3 linked regions of the Lonchura striata genome follow. The protein of the gene in region 1 purifies or fractionates together with the protein of each later gene. This does not show direct contact. Links are inferred from orthologs where the notes say so. Each region holds a gene or a part of one and is shown in the gene's direction. Other genes may lie near its edges.

What was found.
Region 2: the proteins of RUNX2 (region 1) and HDAC4 purify together in Homo sapiens (affinity purification with western blotting; 3 studies listed by BioGRID). This does not show direct contact. The link is inferred for Lonchura striata from reciprocal best matches to the Homo sapiens genes RUNX2 and HDAC4.
Region 3: the proteins of RUNX2 (region 1) and SMAD1 purify together in Homo sapiens (affinity purification with western blotting; 3 studies listed by BioGRID). This does not show direct contact. The link is inferred for Lonchura striata from reciprocal best matches to the Homo sapiens genes RUNX2 and SMAD1.

The regions. Positions count from the first base shown.
Region 1 is NC_134605.1:108,607,293-108,614,983, reverse strand, and holds the start of RUNX2 (runt-related transcription factor 2), read left to right. Parts: upstream 1-4,628; 5' UTR 4,629-5,446; coding exon 5,447-5,749; intron 5,750-7,691. UniProt on the Homo sapiens protein: Transcription factor involved in osteoblastic differentiation and skeletal morphogenesis. Essential for the maturation of osteoblasts and both intramembranous and endochondral ossification.
Region 2 is NC_134610.1:36,921,167-36,929,018, reverse strand, and holds the start of HDAC4 (histone deacetylase 4), read left to right. Parts: upstream 1-4,775; 5' UTR 4,776-4,911; intron 4,912-5,357; exon of another isoform or gene 5,358-5,452; intron 5,453-7,852. UniProt on the Homo sapiens protein: Responsible for the deacetylation of lysine residues on the N-terminal part of the core histones (H2A, H2B, H3 and H4).
Region 3 is NC_134606.1:62,070,993-62,078,331, forward strand, and holds the start of SMAD1 (mothers against decapentaplegic homolog 1), read left to right. Parts: upstream 1-4,288; 5' UTR 4,289-4,438; intron 4,439-7,339. UniProt on the Homo sapiens protein: Transcriptional modulator that plays a role in various cellular processes, including embryonic development, cell differentiation, and tissue homeostasis.

The DNA.
Region 1 (7,691 bases):
AGTCCTACAGTCCCTGCTTAAGAGAAGCAGAAAATATATGATTTAGGAAAAATACAGAAGCAGTAAACTTTGTTGTTTGTACAGCCCGTGTTTTGCTGTGTGCTGTGGAAAAGCCAACAGTTTTTCAGCAGGGACAGCGTAGGTTTCCTACCAGATTTCCAAATTTTTTTTCCTGGTATTACTGGATGCCGAGTCCTGCTCATCTTTGGACCTCTGAGAATATATATACATATTTTTCTATATCAAAATATATATGGGTAGTAGTTAAGATCTCATTCTATACTGAAGGAAAACTTGCTAAAAGTCATGTCTGAGATCCCAGAACATTCAGCATCAGATCATGAGACAGAACACAAGACTCTTAGCTCTCAGTCCCCACTTCCTACTGAAAATGCTAGGAGGAAAAGTAAAATTATGTAGTTAATTTTTTAATGCGGTCATTTTGTAGCCTGTCTATCAAATCTTCATGCTTTTGTTTGTATCAGGGACTATAAATGCTAAAAAGCAGTGCATTATGCTGAAATATTAAATGCTTCAATTTAATTTCAGGACACAAAGAATCTTCTTTTATCTGGGCTGTAAATCAGTGGGGCAGGGACACAGTAGTTAAACAAACCATAGTAGTCCATAGTCTGAGTAAGAGTGCTGCTATTACAGAACTCATTGTCACACGCCTACTTAGTAGGCCAAATTACGTGCTAATCTAGAGTTACTATTTGTCATACTTAAGAAAAAGCAAAGAATATCTGGGCAAACAGTCAACTTCCAACCAAAGTGAAAGTAAAGCTCTGCCAAGAGACACTGGAGCTTATCTTGCCCCTACTGAAATGAATGGAAGTTCAGGCAAAACCTGCTCTAGCATTAAGTTTACTTAAGTTCACATATTTTGGCTCAATGCACACTTTCAGTGTGCATTTCAGTGAATTAAAAACTTAGGGAAGGTAGATATTGGCAATTCTTTCACTATAGTAATAATGCTGACATTGCTGTAGTCTCTCTGGCTAAAAATATCAAATACAGCAACAAACCCAGTGAACCCATTCATTTATTCCCATTTCACAAAAGCTATTTACATACACAGAGAGGCTCAAAATAAATTCTGTATTCATTGGGTTTGCAGAACATTCCAGCCCAGCAAACTGGCATTGAAACTATTTATTTAGGGAACATCATCCAGGTTAGAATCTTTCATATCTGATAATTATTTTTCATCTTGAGCACCCAGTACTTACAACAAGAGCATACTGGGCCTATGTTCTAGAAATGTGATGGTAAACAAACTCAGTTCTCTTTAAAACATTACCTTTTTGTCCAAAAGCAGTCTAATTATGGCTGTATTCATAACACAGTTAAAAGTGAAAAGGCTAAAAGACAATATAAATTGCAGCACGCACAGCCATACTAATGAAAATTCAATACTGTAAAGTGGATCTGGAGGTGTTTGTTAAGATATAACTTGCAGCGCAAGCACATTTTTTCACCAACCTCCTACAATTCTCTAAGATCTTAAAATATGACCCATTTTGCAACCAGTGCTAAAATTCCGAGAAGTTCTGAAATAAAACCTGAGGAAAGCCGAGCAGCAGGGTTGCTCTCCATTCCAGCCAAATCCAAGCCAACGTTCCAGATTATATATATCATAACATGAATGACTTCTGCTGAAAAATCCCATCCAGCTTTTATGTAGGTTCATAAATATTACTGGTACTTTTATTAATTTGTCCATAACCATTTAAATAAAATTCTAGAACTCTGACCCGTGATCTGTTCCAGACTGTAGTAAGTTCCTGTTAAATGTGTAAATATTCAGCAGAAAGATATTTTTGCACAGAGACTGAAAATCAGCTGTGCCAGATACCTGAAACTTTGTTAGGGCACTCAGTGGAAAATTTTATTTTGACATTATAAATAACTCTGGACTATTTTAAGTGACCTTAAACTGGTAGCTTCCAACGACTTATTTTAGTTTATCCTAATTAACTTTTTATTTTATTTTAGTAGGAAGAGAGGTGACTGTAAAATTTTTAGTGTGACTAATTAAAAGTGGAAAGGTATCTTCTTGATTGAAACGAAATAAATCATGATTGTCAGGCTTATATAGCATTTGGATATAAAACAACTCATTGCCTTCTTTCTAGCGCCTTTGGAATGGCTCTTTGGGAATGTATTAGAGCCAGCTAAAGAAGGGGGGAAGGAAGCCAAAAGAATCTATGGACATAAATATTTTGCCAAAATAAGTATGAACAAAGTTATTTTCTGTATCACAACCACAGCAAGCCAGAGCTTCTGCATATATACTAATCCGTATAGGTGATGAGTAATTGTGCTGTGGAAACGCCTGTGGCCACTTTTGGGGAACATTAGATCCCTGTGGTTGGCGGGAGAAGTAGGGCGAGCTCAGGAGGGGCTTGCAGCGTTACCCACATGGATCGCGTCTTCTCAACGGGATAGAAAACTTCCAGAGCCCTTCCAACCTTGGGCCGGGAAAAGATTAAAAAAACAAAAAAAAAAAAAAAACAAACAAAAAAAAAAAAAAACCAGAACAACCGTTGAGGAAATGAACAAGCGGAGGGCACAGGTCCCTGCGAGGCAGTGGGTCGGGGGTGCCGCTCCCCGCGGCAGGCGTGGGAAAGCCGCGGAGCGGAGCGCAGGACGGACGGGGCACGGCTGCGGAGCGGGGCTGGGTGGGCGCCGGCGGGCGCGGAGCCGCAGCCGCGGTGCGCGGAGCGAGAGCTCTCCCCTGTGACCGATCGGCGGAGCTTGCGGGTTGCTCTCTGCTCCGGAGCCGAGCGGGCAGGAGCCGCCGCCGCCGCCTCCGCACGCACATTCCCCGGACACGGCAGGGCTTTGCCCCGGAGGCGCAGAAATTGGGGGCAGCGGGGCAGGAAGGCGCGGGAGCAGCGGTGCCGCCCGGCAGGAGGAGGGCGCGGAGGCTCCGCGGGCGCAGAAACAGCCCCGGAGGTGCCCCCAGCACCAGCAGGCACACACGGACACACCGAGCCCGGGTGTGTGCGGGCTGCTCCGCCGGGGCAGCTCCGCCCGCTCCGCCGCAGCTCCGCGGGACAAACCCGGCTGGGTCGGGGCGCCGGGCTCGGGCTCGGAACGGCTCTTGACAGACACACACACAGCGCAGACAGACACACACACAGCGCCCCGAGTCACACACAGGCGGCGAGCAAGGAGCACACACGCAGCGCCGACTTTTTACAAGAAGGTGGAAGTAGCAAGTCGGAGTAAAGCCTTAGAAATTAGAGGGCGGGTTGTGATAGGCTGTTATCTGCGCGGGGAGGCGGTGACACTTTCATACCATTGGGTATGTAAATGGTTTTTAATAAGATCTGCCCTTTTTTTCTTTTTTTTCTTTTTTTTTTTTTTTTTAAGGGAGAAAAACAAACCAGACTCCCATTACCTTAATAGTCTGAAGGGGGTTTTATAGCTTTCATTCATTCAAGGAAATGGTTTAGGCTTTAGACTACCGGAGACTTAGCAAAAAACTCTTTGGCACCAGAATATTCTTACTTTTTTTCTTTTTTTTTTTTTTTTTTTTTATAACAAGATTTTTAATGCTTTTTTTTTTTTTTTTAATTTAAACAAACAAGTCCAAAAGTGTTAATGGAAAAAACCCGGAGAGAAGTGGAGATCGGAGACCGTCTCCTGCTCCCCCCCTTCCCCATCCCTCTCCCCGTGGGTGAGAGTTTCTCCTCCTGGGGGGGATGCACATTGGTTTATTTATTTTGAAGGCTGCAAAAGTCTGAGGACTGAAGCACCACGTGCTGCTGACTCTCATCAGCATAATGATCGCCTTAGCCAGAGAGTCCTGTATATATAAACCACAAAAACCTAATCATTAGAAATCCCAGCCTCCAAAAACCACATTCAGGACAAAAAAACTGTGGCGTGGGTTTGTTATTTTTTTTCCGGCTCCTTCATCTTCCCCGACCTGAACTTCTTGGGAACCAAAAGAAGTTTGTAACTTTTGGTTGCTTTTTTTTAATAATTATTATTTTTAACCCGATTCTCCAGAAAGAAAAATAAGTCAAACAAAGCGACATTTTAAAGAATTTTTTTTTTTTTTTTTTTTTTTTTTTTTTTTTTTTGCTGCTGTTGTTCATCAAGGGCGGAAAAAAAAAACCCAAGATTTTTGTTCTCCTATTCAACTCAACGGACTTGGATCCAGCAGCGACTTCATGTGAAGGACCAGGCTGCACCAAGGCTGCCTTTTCCTAGAATTTGCTTGATCATATTTTAGAAATCAGCCTAAGGAGGGGTGTTTTATTGTTGTGTTGGTTGGTTTTTTTTCTCAGCTGTGATCCCCGATTCTTTTTCCCTGGGAATCCGAAAGTTTAACTTTCCTTAAGCGCTGATCCTCCGAAAGGAACTAGATAAAAAGTCTCTTTTAATTATCAGCCCTGTGACTTTCCTCTTCACCCCAACAATCCCAGTAACTTTGTTTCCCGGACGAAATCGCTTCGGGAGCGCCTTTTTTTTGGAGGGGGGGAGCCACTTTTCCCAAGCCCCTTCCCGAGCTCCCGCTTCCTGAAGCCAAAGGCAATAAGCGGGAGAGCCCAGCGGCTCCTCGTCCTCGCCTCTGTCCCAGCGAGGCTTTTTGTTTGCTCCTTTTTTTTTTTTTTTTTTTTTTTTTTTTTTTTTTTTTGTGTGTGTGTGTGTGAGTCCGGAGGAGGAAGATTTCGTCGGAGGAAACCGGGACGTTCCCCTGAACCCCCCCTCTCCTCTCCGCTCCTCTCCGGGGCTGAGTTACGCTACGATTCTGGCGGCCACCAGCAGCAGCAGCCCAGGAAGCTGAACCAGCAGCGAGTTCTACTTCTCCCAAGACAATTTTTGGAAAATCCGAAAAGGAAAAGAAGACGCGAAGGGAGGGGAAGAAAAAAGGGAAGAAACTCGAGCACTTGAGGGAAGAAGCGGTGGCTAGAAGGAGGGAAAAGAGCAGAGAGACTGTGCGAGAAGGAAGGAAGGAAGGAGGAGGAGAAGCGGCAGCGCTTTGCAGCTGGGCAGAAGCCGGGACCATGCAGTTTCCAGCCGGGCTGTGCTGAGAGGGGCAGCCCCGGACCCACTGCCAGCCTCTGCCTCCTCGCTGCTCCAGGCTGCCTGCGCCCCCAGACCGGCATCACCCCTCGCCCCGTCCATCTTTCTTTAAAAAAAAAAACAACAAAAAACCCAAAAAAACCAACAAAACAAACCAAAAACAGACTGAGACTTTTTTTTACCTCGTGCATTTAATCCGCTCCTTTTTTTCCCTGTTTTTTGTCTGATTTGCTTTTTTGCCCCTTATCCTCACCCTCCACTTTTTCATTCATCCCTTTTTTCGCTAGATATATATATTTTTTTTTTACAACCCCCACCCCCCACTACACGCCTCCTCTACCAGCGATCCCCCTACCGCTCCCCCCCCCCCCGCCCCCCAATTCGCTAACTTGTGGCTGTTGTGATGCGTATTCCCGTAGATCCCAGCACCAGCCGGAGGTTCAGCCCCCCCTCCAGCAGCCTGCAGCCCGGCAAGATGAGCGAGGTCAGCCCGGTGGTGGTAGCCCAGCAGCAGCAGCAGCAGCAGCAGCAGCAACAGGACGCGGCGGCCGCCGTGCCCCGGCTGCGCCCCCACGATAACCGCACCATGGTGGAGATCATCGCTGACCACCCCGCCGAGCTGGTCCGTACCGACAGCCCCAACTTCCTCTGCTCCGTCCTGCCCTCGCACTGGCGCTGCAACAAGACCCTCCCGGTGGCGTTCAAGGTGAGACACCCCCTCCCGCAGCCGCCGCGGCCCGGGATGCTCCCCCCGCGCCCCCTGCCCTTCCTCCCGCAGGGGCTTCTGTGCCCCCACCCCCCGGCCCGCAGTGTCTCCGGTGATTCCCGTCCTGCAGGAGCTTCTGTGCCCCGCGGCCCGGAGGGATTTCTCTGTGTCCCGCAGTTCCACCCCCCCAGCCCCGTCCTTCAGTGCCTTCTGTGCCCCTCGGCCCGCAGGGACTTCTGTGCTCTCCTGTCCCCCCTCCTGCAGCATCTCAGTGCCCCGCCGGCCCGCAGGGGTTTCTGTGTCCCCCCGACCCCCTGTCCCCGCGATGTCTCCCGTGGCCCTCGGGCTGCCTCCTGTGCCCCCCCCTCACGCCCCCAGCCCAGCAATGCCTCCCCGTGCACCCCCATCCTGCACCGCCTCCTGTGCCCCTGCGGCCCGGGGGGCTTCTCTGACCCCCAATCCTGCAATGATTCCCGTGTTCCCGCCCTCCCCTCCAAGTGTTCGAGTCTTGGAGTGCTTTCTGTATCCTGTCACGGTCCTGCTGTGCCTCCTGTGCCCCCGTCCGCGATGTCTCGGAGTGCAGCCCCCGCAGTGCCTCTCGCCCCGCTCTCCCGGTCCTGCAGTGGCCGCCGTGCCCCGCGTCCTGCCGCGCTTCCCGTGCCCGCCGTGTGCCAGCTCTGCCCCGCTCACCCTTGCTGCGCCCCCGGCGCCCCCCAAGTTCTGCCCGCCCCCCCTGCACGGACCGCACCCCCGGAGCCATCCCGTTATCTCCATCCCCGCGGGGCACTGCTGGCGTGCTCCCCCCGCAGCCCAGGGGCACCCTGTGCCCCCCTCAGCATCCCCCGGGAGACACCCCCTGCTCCCCATAGTCTCTCTCCATGGCTGTTTTTTTTTGTTTGTTTGTTTGTTTGGGGGTTTTTGTTTGTTTGTTTGTTTGTTTGTTTGTTTTGGTGTTTTTTTTTTTTTTTTTTTTTTTTTTTTTTTTTTTTTTTTTTTTTTTTTTTTTGAGAAACCTGCTTTCCCTCTCTGGGGAAGGAGGGATTCAGCCCTCGGCCGGAGCTTAGTGTGGCACCCCTCCACCTCGAGAAACGGGGGTTCCCCTTTCTCCTCTCCGCTCCCGGGAGTGGGACCGGAGGATTTGGCGTGGCTCTGAAGCGTGGCGGGGCGGCTGGAGTCCGAGGGTCAGGCTGCAGTGGCAGAGTGGGATCGGGGCTTTGCCCCCCAACAGCCCGGGCAGAGATGGGGCTGGGAGAGGGGGACACAGAGCACCTGGAGTTGGGGACACGGGGTACCTCACTTCTCCTGGTGGACAGCCGAGGAAGTGGATGCCCAGAGACGCTCTCCTTGGCAGGGTCGCACATTTCCATAATAAATCCCACCCCGCTCTGCACTGGGGATGCTGCTTTTAATTTTCTGTCTCCATCCCCACGGCGCGCTAATGAGAGGAAACGTTTTTAGAAAAAAACCTGCAATAATAACAACAATAATTGCGGGCTTTAAAGCAAGCCCTTTTCCTCCTCTAGCAATATTTCCAAGTGTTCCCACTGGAGTTTTCCTTCCCGTGGCTTTTGGTAGGGAGGGGGCAATGGCTCGGGTGTCCCCAAGTGCCTTCCTGAGCAGGGCATGGGTCAGAGTGAGGTGGGATGGCCCTGGGGGATCTCAACATACCCACATTTTCCTGTGAAAAGTAACACACCTGGAGATCCCTGAAAAGACAGAAAAGTTTGGAAACAGTCTCACCCAGTGTGTTCCAGAACATCGTCTTTTTCTTGTGTTTCCCGACTGCCAGCCGTGTTATCATGGCCGTTTGTTCGGGAAGAAGCAGTAAAAGTGCTTAAATGAGCCCCTGGTAAAGTGAGTGGTGATAACGATGGAGGTTTGCTTTGAAGATGTTACGGGTGTGCGGGTGAGGCTTGGCTAAAGTGCTCGTGTGTGTGGGAAC
Region 2 (7,852 bases), on another chromosome or scaffold:
GGGGGCTGCAATTGTTGGCTTGGCTTTTTATTCCAGATTTGTCCCAAAGTAGATTGGATCCACGTCAGGAAAGACTCCAAGCACGAGCTCTGCCAGCTGCTCCTTGTCTGCAAAATCTAAAAGTTGCTGCTCCTGAAGCCAGGCATTTTTATTTGCATGAGAAAGCTGTAGCTGACTGTAAGATAGTTTGTGATCTGATTTTAAAAGAAAAGGATAAAAATAAGTCCAATTGTGTTCTTGTTCTGCCTCAATTTAGCTGCTGGTCGTTCTCTTTTGTGCTCCCCACATTTCTGGAAAGCTGGTTGACACTTATTTAGGTTGGCACAAACTAAATATAACCAAGTGTGTGTGAAAGAGCATGGACTGGGTCAAAGCTTCCAGAGCAGCAGAAAGAAGCACTTTGCTTTAAAATACCAAAATCCAACTCTTTCTGAGACAGCTCAATGAAACACACACAACCTGAACAAAAAGTGAGCCCTCCATTCAACTCCTGAATGCTGCTGAAATTTTTATTTTATTTTTTTTTGCCAGCTTTTACAGTCCACAGCCTTCTCATTCAATCCTGAATAATAGCTTTGAATTGGGCTGTAAAAGCTTCCGAAGTTTGAAGTCTTTTGACAAGTTAATTTAGCTGTATGGTAAAAAGTTTTTCCCCCAGATAGAATAAAGCCATCATCTCATGAATGTAGCAGTCAGCCAAGGGAAAGAAAACACCATTAGGATTAGAAATGATGGGCTTTCTGGAGATAGTTTGTGGTTTAGTGTGATCTACTATCAATATTTCAGTAGAAAAATATCCTACTCGTCATCCAGCTGCAAGTCAGTCTCTTCACATAAAACCAACACCCAGGGACCAGGCTGCAAATGTTTTTATTTCTATTTTTCTATTTTGCTTTTTTTTTTTTTCCCTGGTCATATTTTTCTTACATTTATTTAGATTTTAATGGTTTTTCACACCCTGGATGATGCTTTTTTTTTTTTTTTTTTTTTTTTTTGCCTGGTTGAAAGAGGCCGAATAGAAAAATGGATCAATATTTCTTTGAAGGTTTTCTCACTACAGAGAGACACACCCCACATTTTTCTTCCAGTAGCTGGATGAAAAGAAATATAATAAATTGATACACATTTCCTTTATTTTTAATATTAATAATTGGAAAATGAGCACTGATAAACAAAGTGTATCCATCAGTTATTCTAGCCTTGATGTCACAAAGAATCCATATTAATTTTAGACTTATTTCTGCTTTTTATCTCAATTTAAGCCTTAATGTGCTACTAAAATGGGGTGAACAAAAAAAAAAAAAACAAAAACAAAACCAAACAATTGAGGGGGAAAAGAGATTTCTTTCATACTCTTAATTCTTCAGTTTCATTTGGAGGGATGATGACACCATAAGAACTTTTGGGCAGTTGTTTGTAATGGCCACAGAATAATTTTTCTCTCTGCAGTAGGAATGATGATCTTTGTGGATCCCCTCCAAGTCAGGCTATTCCATAATGTAGTTGAGAGCATAGCTGCTAGATAAATAGGAAGCTTATAGAAATCCAGAAAAATACTGAAAACAAAATTGGCAAACATTTTTATTCTAAAAGTGTCTTGTACTCAGACATTGTAAAACGACTGCCATAACAATCCAATATATCTCCATCAGCAAAAATAAAGCGTAAGTATGGAGAAGAAAGCAAACTTTACATTGTGACCTCCACTTTGAACTTCACTTGCTTGTTTTTCCCCCCAGCTGGGGAACATGGACTTGATTTTGCCCAAAACAACAGCAATAATTTGTTTCTAAGAGTCTGGCTCTTACTGCTTCAGGGTTTCAGCTCTTCAGGCCCTGAGTGCTGCAGACTTGATGAAGTGTTAGGTGTGCAGACAAGCTGGGAAGCAGCTCCTGCAGCCAAACACAGGCGTGGGGGCTCCGAATTGGAGGAGAACCACCTTGTTCTGGATCAAAGCAAGCTGTGAGGCAAAGAGAGAACAAGGAGTTACAGCTGAAGCAAAACTCACCAGGATTAAAAAACCAGTAACAACCGAACAAAACTCCACAATAAAAGGTATGCTGGAGGAAAACACAGGAAGGGGCAACGTAAATTTAACATTCCCAGTCACATCAGAGCTGTGCTGTAAATTATGTGGGTTTGATGGGGTTTTCCTTTTGATGGCAAAAAGTAGTAAACCAGTATACTGTGGGACAGATACAGAGCAGGGAGTGGGAAATAGCACAGAAAGGTGACAGGTAGGACAGGAAAACCAAGGGAGGTCAGTGATGGAGACTGAATGATCAGGAGGAAGAAGAGGGAGCCATCATCAGATTGGAACTTGTGTCTAGGCTTGACTTTTCTCCAAGGACCCAAGTGTCACTGCCACTTGGTGTCTAGGCTCCAGAGGAAGCTCCTGCTGGCGCTCTTCCTAACTCTATCCTCCTTTTTTTTAGGCTGTGGAGTGGAAAACTGAAGCACTCTCTTTTCCTTTCACCAGCTCCGTGTGACTAGCGAGGGAAATTAGCTGGAGTGTTGTGATGGCTGTTTCCTGCTTGAGAACATAAGAAATGGAATCATTCCTGACAAACAAGGAGTTCAGCTAAAGATGAGGTGGAGGTAGGCGTGAAGTTCTGTAATTGCTTTTTATTTAAATCTTTATGAATTAGCTCTGCCAGGGTGTTGGTTTTTATTTTAGATTTTTATTTTTTGCTTCAACAGGCCTCTGAGTAAGTTTTTCAGCTGCAAATACAGCAAAAACAGACTATATACAGCTATAGCCAATATGTTGGATTGAACATATAGCAAGAAGCCTTTCCCTTGTGAATCTGAGGTCTAATTTCCATGCACAACGACAAAGGTTTAATTTTCTGCCATTATGCATAGGTTAGCCTAGACTGGGTATTAATAGAGACACATACTCACACCCACAGCCACAGGTACAGCATCAATCAAAACCTGAAGGTAGAACTTACACTTCGTGGCAACTTCCAGGGCACAGTTCTCTCCTTTTGTTTCCTGTTTCCAAACTGCTCTAGCAGTGCAGCGAGGAAAGGCAGCTGGGCTGCTTGTAACCCACGTTTTAAGGATTTGGGACCAATTCTCCCCCTGGCTGGAGCAGAAATGGGGACTGCAGGGGAGGGCAGACACTCACCTGGCTGCCACAGCCGTGCCCTGCACCAGCCATGAGCAGCACACCTGTTGCCTTGGCAAATATTGCCCTGCTTTGGTAACCTTCTGGCCCTGAAGGCCTTCCACCCACAGGTCTCTTGGCACTCAAACATAATTTGGGAGGTTATTTATACACACGTTCCCTTATCCGTCCGAGCGCACAGCTGGCCCCAAATAAAGAGGGCAGAGCAACTCTGTGAAACCTCACCAACCAAAGAACAACAAACAAGCCCACGAGCCTAAAGAAGCTGCAAATGAAACAAAAAGGGCTTCAGCTTCAGGCAGAAGTGGTGTTCTTAATGCCAGTGGTGCTCTCAGGTGTGTATTCCACGGAAATGTCACCATTTCCTGGAGCCTGTGGACAACGTGGAAAAAAATCCCGAAACTTTAATGGCTGGATCAATATGCCAAGGGTTTTTGTAAGGGTGGCCCTTTCAAATGAAATCAGAGGTGGTAAATATCTCCGAAAAGGTAAAAGAGAAAAGGAGCAGTGTTTATATACTACCATGTATATGCAGATTTGAGAGACGGACAAAGTTGTTAGCAATTCCCATCAAGTCCCAAAATTTATGTAAATCCAGATGGCTGAATGACAGGAGTTCCTATTTTTTTAAATTTTTTTTTTTTTTTTTTTTTTTTTTTTTTGCTATAAGGGAAATCTGGAAGTTTTAAAAAACAATTTAGCGAGAGCCAATTAATCAAACCCACCAGAAGCGTGCTGGGATGGCTGCCTGTGAGTAAGGAATGTCATGTTTCAGCTTGCCTTAGGCAAGGATGGGAAGAAATTCCTTGGAAGCTTAGCAGGAAATCTCCTTTCCACTATCCCAGGGTGCTCCAAGCTCTGTCCAGCCTGGCCTTGGACACTTGCAGGGATGTAGGGGCAGCCACAGCTTCTCTGGGAAACAGAAGTAATGGAATGATACATCGCCGGTGGGATGTTCCCACTGGATTGTGTCCCACAGGATGAACTTCTTGCACCCAATACTGCAGTGTTTTCCTTCCCATCGTCCGGAATGTTTGGGAGCACGACTTGGGAAGTTTTGGGCACTGCATAAATCAAGAAAATACGAGTGAAACGAGATGTGTCAGTTCAATGGGTAATTCCACGTACAACTCAAAAATCAGTAAATTGCTGCGAAAACGGGGGTAGAGGGAAACATTACCGGAGAACTCCTTTTTATTTTCATTTTTAAATTTCCTCTCGGTAATTCAAGCAAATATGTTGAACCGTGCCCTGTCCTTTCTGTCGTTTACCCCTCGCTTCAGCTGTTTGCTGTTACAGGCGACACCTGACGGAAAACACAGGACGGCCCATGAGGGAGCGGGACCGTGGGTGCAGAAAATCGGGGGGTAAAAAACCCCAGAGTTCCACGTTTTATCACACTGTGGTCTCTACGGCGTGGATCGCAGGTGGGGGCTGGAGACGCCGGTCCTGCGGTCCCGACCCCCGATCCCCGCGGGCTCTGTGCCAACATGGCGGCCCTGCCCCGCCCCCGGTCGCCATGGCGACGGGCCGCGCGCCACGGGGCGTGACCGGGGGCGCACGGGGCGGGGCCCGATTGGTCCCCTTCCCCCCGCGCGGCTATAAATAGCCCGCGCCCGCCGATTGGCTGCGGGGGAAAAATGGTCGCACCACGTGACTCCTCCATCTAAAAAGATTTCCAAGATGGCGGAACCCGTCACGGGCTGAGTCCGTCGGTGGCGCGCTCCGCGCCGGGGGGGCCATCGCCGCGCAGCGTCCCCGCCTCGCCCGCCGCCCAGGTCAGTACGCGCCGCTCCGCCGCCGCCGAGCCGCGCCGCCCCCGCGCCCGGGCTGCCCGCGGCGCCGGCCCTTTAAGGCCGATCGCCTCCCCGCCCGGCGGGCTCGCGGCGCGGCGGGGCCGCTCCCGGGGGCCGCTGGTCGCCGCCGCGCCGCGGCCGCGGGAGGGGGAGGTGACGGGCAGCTGGCGCGGCCAATCGCAGGCACCCGCGCGGTGGTGGCGGGCGGATTTGAGCCGCGCAGCGCCCCAGGCCGCGCGCTGATTGGGCGGCACGCCGGGCGGGGCGGGGACCCCGCGCGCCATCGGCCCGGCCCGGGCGGGGCGCGGGGGGCGTGACGGGCAGCGCCGCCGCCCACTCAGCGCGCGGGGCCCGGTTTTTTGTGAATGGGGGGGCGGGGCCGCCGCCGCCTGCAGCCCCGCCCCCCGCGCGCTCGCCCCGCCCCTCCCGGGCGGCCGCGGCTCCGCCTCGTCCCCCCCGGCGGCGGCGGCGGCGGCGGCGGCGCTCGGTCCGTGCGGGGCGAGTCGAGGCGATGCGGGCAGCGGTGAGTGACCGGCGAGGCGAGCGAGCGGCGGGCTGCGGGCAGCGCCGTACGGGGGCCTGGCGCCGCGGCTTGGCGGGGCGGGCGCGGCCCTGCGGAGGGGGCGACGCCCGCGGCTCGGCCCTGGGGCAACGGGCGGGCCGCGGCCCGGGATCGGTCCTTCCATCCTCTCCTCCCGGGCCTCCTTCCCTTGTCCTTGTCGTGGGAATAACGCGGGACTTGGAGAAAGTTTGCGTCCTCTCACCCCGCTCCCCGGGGCTGTCGGGCTCGGGCCCCGCGGCACTCACCTCCTCCTGGAGAAAATGCCCCAAAATGGCTTTTTTTTTGTGCCCGGGAGGAGCAAACAGGGGGTGCTGCCCTCGGCAGCGCGGCGTTCTCAGAGAGCCCGGCGATGGCAATCACAGGTCCGAGGCCCAGGGCTGTAGCCTCGCCGCCACAACTCCGGTTTTGGGGGTTCGAGGGGGGATAAAGCACGTGTGCCGCTGCGAAACCTCAAGCCTCGGCTTGCATGGGGCGAAATGAAGCAGAAAAAGCCGAGCTTTGGGGTGGCGGAGGATCGCGGAGAGAGGGAGGTGTTGCCCAGCAGCCGCGTGTGGGTTTTGCTGCAGGGATTTATCAGGGGAAGATGCTGCGCGATCCCGGCGCTCCCCCAAAATATTGCCCGCTGCCTGCCCCAGATGTGCTCTCGGGGGTGTTTGTGACGGCTCGGCGGAGCAGATGGATTTACATAACAATAATTTGACTGTCAGTGCTCGGCGCTGGGCAGCGGCTGGACGGGAAGGCAACCTGCCCTTCGCTCAAAGCACTTGCGTAATTGTGTTGTGCGCCCACTCCGCAGGGGAAGGTGCTGGTTTTGGTGGTTTTTTTGCCTGTCAATAGACTGTTTTGGCTGATTTGCATAAATCAGACTCGTCGCCGCTAACGCCCGTACGGGAGGATTTCGTGTTCAAGCCTTGCTTCATATTCCGGGCTGGATTACAGCTCTGAAAATGCTCCCAAGGAGTGGGGATCTGTGCCGGGAAGGTGTGGGTGGATTCAGGGTGTGAAAATGCCTTGTAAAACCCTGGGATGGGGCGTGCAGCGAGGCATTGGCTCTCTCCCGGCTTGCCGCTTCTTTCCCACCAGGCAGCTCGGTGCGGTGCTCGTTTCCCCAGCCGCATCACCTTGTCCTCAGAGCGCTGGTCTGAGGCCGCGGAGATGGAGCAAGCGTTATTTTGGCCCCGGGAGCTACAGAGAGTGAATAATCCCCTGGCCAGTGCGTTTTGATTTACTGCTATTATGCCCTGTCAATAAATGGGACTCATGCCGCATTTATTCCCTGCCCTCAAAGTGCTTTGCTTGTTGCCAAATCTACCTGGAGTTAATTATCTGAATTGTGCTTTTTTTCTTGTTGTTGTTGTTGCAACGGCAACATTTTTAAAAGCTAAGGAGCTCTGAAGTTTATATAATAATCTGGTTCTTGGCCGGGTTTCCTGGTGGTTTTTTTTTCTTTTTTTTTCTTGTGTGTGTGTGTGTAACGCGGTCGGTCGCGGCGCTGAGTTTTAATAATTTCTGATCTTTCCAGCACCACTGTTAGGAGTTCTCAGCCTAAAAAGCTGCTGCCGACGCTCTGCAGCCTCGCTGGAAGAGTTGAGGGCATTGAATTTAGGAAAGCTCAGCTGCTTGTATACAAATATACAGCAATTACAAGGCAACAAAGTTATTGCAGAACCCTACTGTCGCCATGGCAACACGCTCACTCAATTACATTTGGAAATGTAAAATGCCACCCAGTTAGAGTAAGTTTTAGTGACTGCAGATATTCTGGGTAAAGTGAAATGTGGAAGATGCTGCTTTCCAGGATTCTCTGCTTTTTCCCTCCGTCCATGGATGGCATGTGCATCTGACAGATTCCCAGTGTTGATATTAAGCTGTGCCCTTGATGGTCTAAACTTAGGGAAAAATATCTTTAAATCTTCACAATTTTAACTTTGCCACTCTGCTTTTTTTTCGTTTGTGTTGTTTCAGGACTTAGCTTTAGAAAGGAGACAGATTAGAGAAAGCATTTTGGAAAATTGGCTTAGAACACCAGAAGAATTTGTCATTTGCTCAGCAGGATGGAGGCATGGAAGGAAGCACACGTATGGCATGAAAAGCTTGTATTCCCTTGGGAGGAGATGTCTGTTGGGCAGCCTGTGTCTGTGTGCTGCCATCTCCTAAAATCTCCTAAACAGATAATCCTAAAGTAGAGAACTGCTAGGTGTGAATTACCAAGTTCTTGAGAAGTCCAGGGTGGAAGATAACAGGTGGAGGAGATGCAGGTCCGGGTGTGGGATATCGGTGACCTCCACGGTGGAAATCAGTTTCACTTTCTTGCATGCCTTTTGATGGTGAATCACCAGGAAAATAAAGAAAGGCCAGGTT
Region 3 (7,339 bases), on another chromosome or scaffold:
GTACTGGTGCAATGCAGTGAACAGGAATGCTGTCCTTCGTGGATGCACGTGATGAGCTGTCAGAACAGAGGGCAATCTCCCTTCTTTACCAGAAAAGTAACATTGCTGGAGGAAAGTCCTTGCATCAGAGTCTGATGAGAAAACAACCAATAATGGAGATAAGGGAGTGCCCTGCTTAATACTTTATTTCAACCCAAACCTTTTGGAATTGTAACTTTTAATAAGGATCTTGGCAGCTTTAGCTGGGCACATTAATCTTAAGAAAGTAATGAATTTAGGTCTGATTCCCATCATCCCAATGGGTGGAAAAGATGAATGACTACTCAATCTGATCAAAAACCTTTCTGGTATCTGCAGATAGATTTATGGCAGAAGCCTTATTTAATATAACAGAGGTATACACATAATAACCTTGTAAAATTATCAAGTTCCACATTTATTCTATATGAATCCCACTTAATCATAGTGGGCCAGTTTAGGAAGAACTTCTGAGAGTGAAATGAATTCTTTGTTCTTTTGCCTATGACAGTGAGTCACAATACTAAGGCAGGTCCCAAGCAGGTATTTGACTCTCTATAGAGTCAAACTCATGCAGGGCTCATTCTAGAAAATGGCCAGACTCCCAGAGCAAGACTACAGAGAGCCCTCAAGTGTTGCCTTCAAGGCCTTTTACAACTTAGTTCCTTATTTCCTGGGCTTGTACTGTGGCTATACAGGACCTTGTATCCAGATGGACTTGGAAAACCATATGCAGTGCTGCACAGTTATGATGACCTCCTAAAAATGCTCCTTACCTTCTCTCACATGCTGTCTTCTGCCTGAGGCACTGTTCCCAAATAGATCTATGCAGTTGCTAAGCCGTCTGCATATCCTATGTTAATAATGCTGAGGTAGGAGTCTTGTTTAATACCTCGCCTACTCAAAGACAAAGCAGAGAAGCCATGAAGGATAGAGGGTGATACATTTTGTCACCCAGCCCAAGAAAGAAGGAAATAATGAAATCCAGTATCCTTAGGAAGCTATTATTCTTCTTGAGAGAGCTGCCTCTTCTCTCTGAAAATATTGTTGGTATTTTCCCACACTAGGCAACAAAAAGTGTAATGGCTGAAAAGAAAATTACTCCAGTGATTTTAATGTAAATAATAAGTTGTCTGTTTGATATAATTTAATTATTTAATTATCCATGAAACTCCTAATTTCTGGCAGAAACCTAGTGTACATGAAGGTAAAGCAAAGTTACTGACTTTGGAGCTAAACTGTCTCCAGAAGACAGTCACTATCCCTGGAACTTCTTGATTAAGCCAGATGAAGCCTGGCTGAAGTTAACAAGAAATACCAAATCATAACCTACATACAAAATTGGATTTTGGAGGAAGATCAAAAGCCAATAGTTGTTGTAGCCACAGTATTAGTAGTAGTAGTAGTATTTCTTAAATGCTTGTTACATAATAGAATAGTCTAAAATATGCAGCATAATGAATGTCTTTTAGAACTCAGCCTTCTGATAATCAGTTTCCGAGACACAGATTTTAAAGCTGATTGGGCAGGTGCTTGGTGAGATGCTAGAAAGTGTCTGTGAGATTAAAGTTTCCTTTGAGAATCATAATAGACATTTATCTGTGTAAGTGCCCCTACTCCATTAAAATTCAGGTCCACAGGCCTTATGACTGATGGTGCCATCAGATTGTGCACCTAATCTGATGAAAAGACAGGCAGTTTACAGACGGAATGGTTCTTCTCTTTCTTCATTGCCCCAGCCTCACGGCCTATTTTCCTTGCACTAGTCTGAATGATCATGTAGCTGCAGAGCAAAAAGAGAAAAAACCTATTCTCTGTTGCCTCTTGAGATAGCACAGTTATTCAGCCCAGTGCAGAGGAGCATCAAGGTTGATACCCAGGTGTACATACCTCTCTGATTTCCTTTTTTCAGTTTTCTAATGTTATTCAGAAAAGGCAGGAAGAAGTTAATGATTCAGGGTATTAAATTAGCCAGTGGATTTAGAAGTGGTGAGTGTGCAGTAAGACACTGCTGATGCTGCTCACCCACAGAGTAATGGGTTTGGACAGTCAGCTCCACCTGCACATCCTAAAGCAGGGGGCAGACTTGAAGTTTTATTCTGGCTAGTGTGCCAGAACAGCCCAGGCAGGGAAGCCTTGAGGAAGATCTGACCAGGGCACACTGTTTCTGCCTTTTCCCCTGGTCTTCTCACACCACTGCTCTGTCTGAAGCCAGGCTACCCAGCCCCCTCCAGGACAACCACTCTGGTTATTAAACATCAGAGAAAGACTCTCCTAGGCTGTTTCATAGCCTTTTTTAAGGAAAGCAGCATATTAATGTGATCCTCCCCAAGCCTCAATGTAAGTAGAAAATAATTTAATTCTCTCATGCCAAAGCCAACCAACCGGTCAACCCTAACAACAACAACAAAAGCAGTAAAAATGTGGTTCTAACAAGACACCTGACAAACTGCAGTGCTTCCCTAATTATCTCCTTGTCATATCTGTTTAGTGTGAATCATGAATTGATACTTCAGCAACCAGGATCCAGTGGATGGAGCTTGTGCCCACGAAGTCAGCCTGCAGAGCACATTACAGCAGAGCTCAAGCACATGAAAGGCCTTTTCCATGTTTTTCTCTGTGTGAGACTGGATCACTGAGACTGCCAAGCTCTTGGGCAGGTACTACTGCTGCATCCACTACTCTTGATCCAGGACACTACCACAGTACAAAAACCAGATATCAGTTTCATGTTTCTCCTGTACTTTACTCGCAAATGCCTTCATTACACTGCCAAACTTTAAAGACCATTCAGTTTGTCTTGAGATAAACTCCACCAGTTGTATTTGCAGTCCAGTGCTGCACTATATCTGTGATTGCACATAGAAAGAAGTTTACTTGCTAAGTGTAGTTGTGTACAGTGCAAGCACAAAATACACATTAAAGCTGATTACCAAAGTTCACTCATCTTGAATCATTCAAGGTTCAAAATTTAAGCAGTAAAAGAGTAATTTTATTCCAGGCTTTCCCCATCAATATTATGGCATCATCCTGTGTGGGAGTTCCTCTACTATTATTGTAGCATAATCCCTAACAAAATTGTACAATTCACCTGTTTGCAATATATGTGGTATTTATGTGGCATATGTGGCAATGAAATGGATGAATTTTAGATTATGAAGTTAGAAAGAAGCGCTGATACCTTCACAGGCATAGACCTGGGTATTTTTTACTGCTGCTGTTGTGCTCCTTCTGTGATCTTGGGCAAGCCATTCCACTTCTGTGTCTTCAGACTCACAATGCACTTGGGTGGGCAGGACAACTGTTCATCTGGTAAAACTCTCAGGGCCTTAAGTCCTCCAGGCCTCAGTGTTCCTGGACTTTAAAATTAGTTTAAAGTCATACCAGAACTGTCTATACATGTCAAAATTTACTGGCCTAAGTCTAGGGGTACAATTATGTGTATAGGCATATCAGAATATTTTGCCACGTAGGAACATCTTGCACTTGTTGCTTGAAATCTCCTTCCAGGAACGATGACTGGGTAAAAGCCAAAGAATCAGTTTCAGTTCAATCTTGCTTGCGCAACACTTACCTGACTACTGTAAAGATCCTGTGAGCGGGCAGGAGAGGCTTGCCATTCCACATGTGAGCTCCAAACTTTCAGTCAGTTCCACTTTGGAGCCGACACTTGCAGATCCAAATGGACTTCAAGTCCCAGGGACAGCGACTTGAGGCTTCATTACTGTGGCTCTGACTGCACAAGAAGCCTCCAGCACTGTAATAGCTTTACTCGCATGAATGAGGACTAAGTGCAGCAATACCTACGGGCAGGAGAATGTCCACGTGTAAAACACCTGGGGTTAGAGAGTGCTCTGTCATTGGGAGGTATTACAGCAATTATTTCAGTATTAAGACTAGACCAAGTCAAGCCTGAATCACCTGTAGCAAGCGGCAGGACATAATCCTGTTCCGTCAGGAATGGACTTTAACTCCAAGTCCGACAGCATCCTCCGCTGTCCCCGAAGCCCCGCTGCCGGAGCTCCCCGGCCGCTCCGGCGGGGCAGAAACGCCTCCTAAGCCCCAGTGACGGTGTCGGAGGGGGCTCACAGCCGGGGCGAGGGTCGGGCTAGGGCACACAGCGGCCGTGCCGTGCCGTGCCGTGCGGGGCCGTGCCGTGCCGTGCCGCGGCCGCTCTCCGGCGGCGGGCGCAGCGCTCCCAGCGGGACCCGGCGGCGCGGCGGCGGGGGCGGGAATTTGGGGAGGATCCCTGGCCGGGCCGGTGCGTGTGTGTATGCGAGTGTGTGTGTGAGTGTGCCGGTGAGCGGCGCGGGGCGGCTCCGGCCGCCTGACGCCGGCCGGGCCACATCCATCCCGATCCCGATCCCGATTCCGGCGCGGAGGAGCTGCCTGCTGGCCGCCCGTCACCGCCCGCCAGCCGGTAACAACTTCGCGTTCCCCCGCACCTCTCCCCGCTCACTGTCCCCGAGGCCGGGCGGCTGTGCCCGCGCATCCTCCCCTCCTCCTCCTCCTCCTCCGCGGTCCTTGCGGTGGTGTTCCCGGCGGCGGGGCCGTGCGGCGCGGCGGGAGCGGCTCCGGGCAGCGGTGCTCCCGCTCGCCTCCCGGCATGATGGCGGCCCGGCGGGGACCGCTCCCGGCTCCGAGTTGGTGGGTAGGTGCCGCGCCGGGCCCGGCGGGCGGCAGAGCCCTTCCCTGCCGGGAAGCGCCGTCCTGCGGCTCCTCCCCGGCCCCGGCCCCGGCCCCATCGCGGGGACGCGGCGGAGCCGGGGCAGGGGCCGCCTTTGTGTGTGCGGGAGCAGCCCTTCGCCTCCCGCCGCGGCCCGGCCGCGTCCCTCTCCCTCTAATTTATCTTCTTTCTTCTTTTTTCTCCCTTCCTTTCTTTCCGCAGCCCCTTCCCCTCCTGCTTTTTTTTCCCTCCCGTCCCCTTCTTTCTTCTTTAATGACAAATCTGCGCTTAGAGGTCAAGGAAAGTTCACTTTTTTTTTTTCTTTTCCCTGTTAGAGGGTTTGGATGCTTGAGATTTTCCCCCTCTTCAGTATAGTTGCTTCATATACTTGTACAGCCAAATAATCTTATCCTGAATATAGATCTTTAAAGCTTATTAAAATTTACTGGCATGGAAATATTCAGTCATGCGTTCAAAATGATCTGGGCCAAATACTGACTTTTTTTTTTTTTTTTTTTAATATAAACTGAAGTCAGAGAGAGTTCTGACCGAGGCAGGGTTGCTGTGATTGCTCTTTTGTTAGAAGATCAATCTGAAGAAGGTACACAGTCCGACCTTACAGTTTGCTTTTACAGTATCTGGATAACAACAGCTTATTCTGAAAATTAATCATTTTTTTGGTGTACTTTAGGATAACATGATGCTCACTGCGTGTCTACAGTTTTATTTGGGGAAGTATTTTCAACAGAGCTTAATGAAAACTGTATTGTTAGAGCCAGATGGGGAGGAGTAAAAGTAAATGTGTATTTCAGATACAGGCAAATGGAAAAGATCATTGCCTGAAACATGTCAGTGTTTAATGGATGTCAGTGTTCAAAGATATTGCACCTTAAAACTAACATGCTTCTTAGGAAAGAGCGGTCATAGCTGATAGTTTGAATCTGTTTTGCACACAGAGGGGAAGTCAGAAAAAAAAACTTGTTTAAAATTTTTTCTTCCAATAATTATATGTATTTTCAAGCAGCATTCAGGAGTAAGATTAAAAACAGTAGCTTACCCAGCCCACAGAGAACACTTTTCTTTGCAGGTGTGTGTCTGTAATTCTTCATGTGGCTGACTGTATGCACCTTGTCATGTCAAACAATAGGAGCAAATCATGTGAGGGAACATAAGTTTGGCTTATTTTTTTCTTTTACTTGTGAGTAATGATTTGGCTGAATTATGGGACGTGAGTTTTTAGTTGCAGCTGATTAGTATTTAATTTCCCCCTTAAACCAGAGAGCAGTGCTATGAAGGTTTTTCAAGGTTCCCATTGGATTTTAGTGCAGGGTTTGGGTGCTTACTTCTCTGTTATGACTGAAAGAACATCAGTATGAAAATGAGAGTGATCTGGCCCTTTTGGGAGTCCTTGCTGTGGTCTTAGGGCTGAAGTCTTGCAATTTACTTCAGACTGTAAGTAGGCACTTGAGAGAAATTTCCCTTGATTTGGGTGATCCAGAAGCCTTCCACAGCTATGAGAAATGATCAGTTCAAGGCTGATCAGGTTACCCTAAGGGTAGGGATTTGTCCTTGCATCTGTTTTGACCCCATTACCATTGGGTATGTAATCAAATACATTTTTTTCCTATTCTGTTCTGTTCAACTTGCTTTTTTGTGTACCCTTGAAGATGTGATGATCTGATACATTTGAGACAAGTGACTGAGTAAACAGATGGAGATCTTTCTGTTTTCATATAAATAGTAACTATCAAATCAACTATTTGAAACTGATGAGTTTGGTGTTTGTTTTTCCTCTGTAGTTTGAAAACAGAATAGGTGAACATGAAGAAAAACAATACAAAGGTTAATAAAAGTGCTACTTGTGTTTCTGAGTACTAGAAAATTATTCAGATTAAACTGTTAATTTCTTTGCTTGCTATAAAGATTTAAATTTTAAAAATGAAGGGGTTATGACTGTTTTGGTTATTTTTCTTTAAATTAAAGCATGAATGCACTGGATATTACATATTGCCAGTATTCTGCTCTGTGCAGCCCAAGCTGTGTGCGTAAAATATCATTTGAGTAGTCTTACAGGCCTAATGGAGGCATCATCTCAGCTTTATAAATAATGTAAGTTGTGTATAATGTGGAGTCCCCAGAGACTGCAGAGAAAGCATCATTACCAGCCTTTTCAACCTGCTGGAGATCTTAAATTGATTTACAGCACTGAACTGGTGCAAAATGATACATCAGGATGACACAGGGTCAACCTGTAAAAGTCTATGATGTGAGCCTGTTAGTTCAGTCATCATAATTAAACCATATTATGAGGGCAGCAAAGCAAGTGTCGGTGACATGTCCCATTGTGCTTGAGATACAGCTGGTTTGAGAATCAAATAAAGAGAGCACCGTGTGTATTATTTAAATTATGTAAAGAGTAGTTGAAATTAAAGTTTGTGCCCTGTGAAGAGTAAAAGCTGAACCAATTTAGGTTGACTCTCAACCTCTTCCTTGCAGTCATTAGGAGCTGAAATAGATGAAGGAATATGCAGCTACGGGATGTATGAGTGGGGAAGTGGCTGTGAATGAATCTCTGATATTTATATATCCTTTTTTTAAGGCTCAGCTAGACTTTACCTGCAGACTGTGCTATCAGATACCAAAGGAACAAACAGG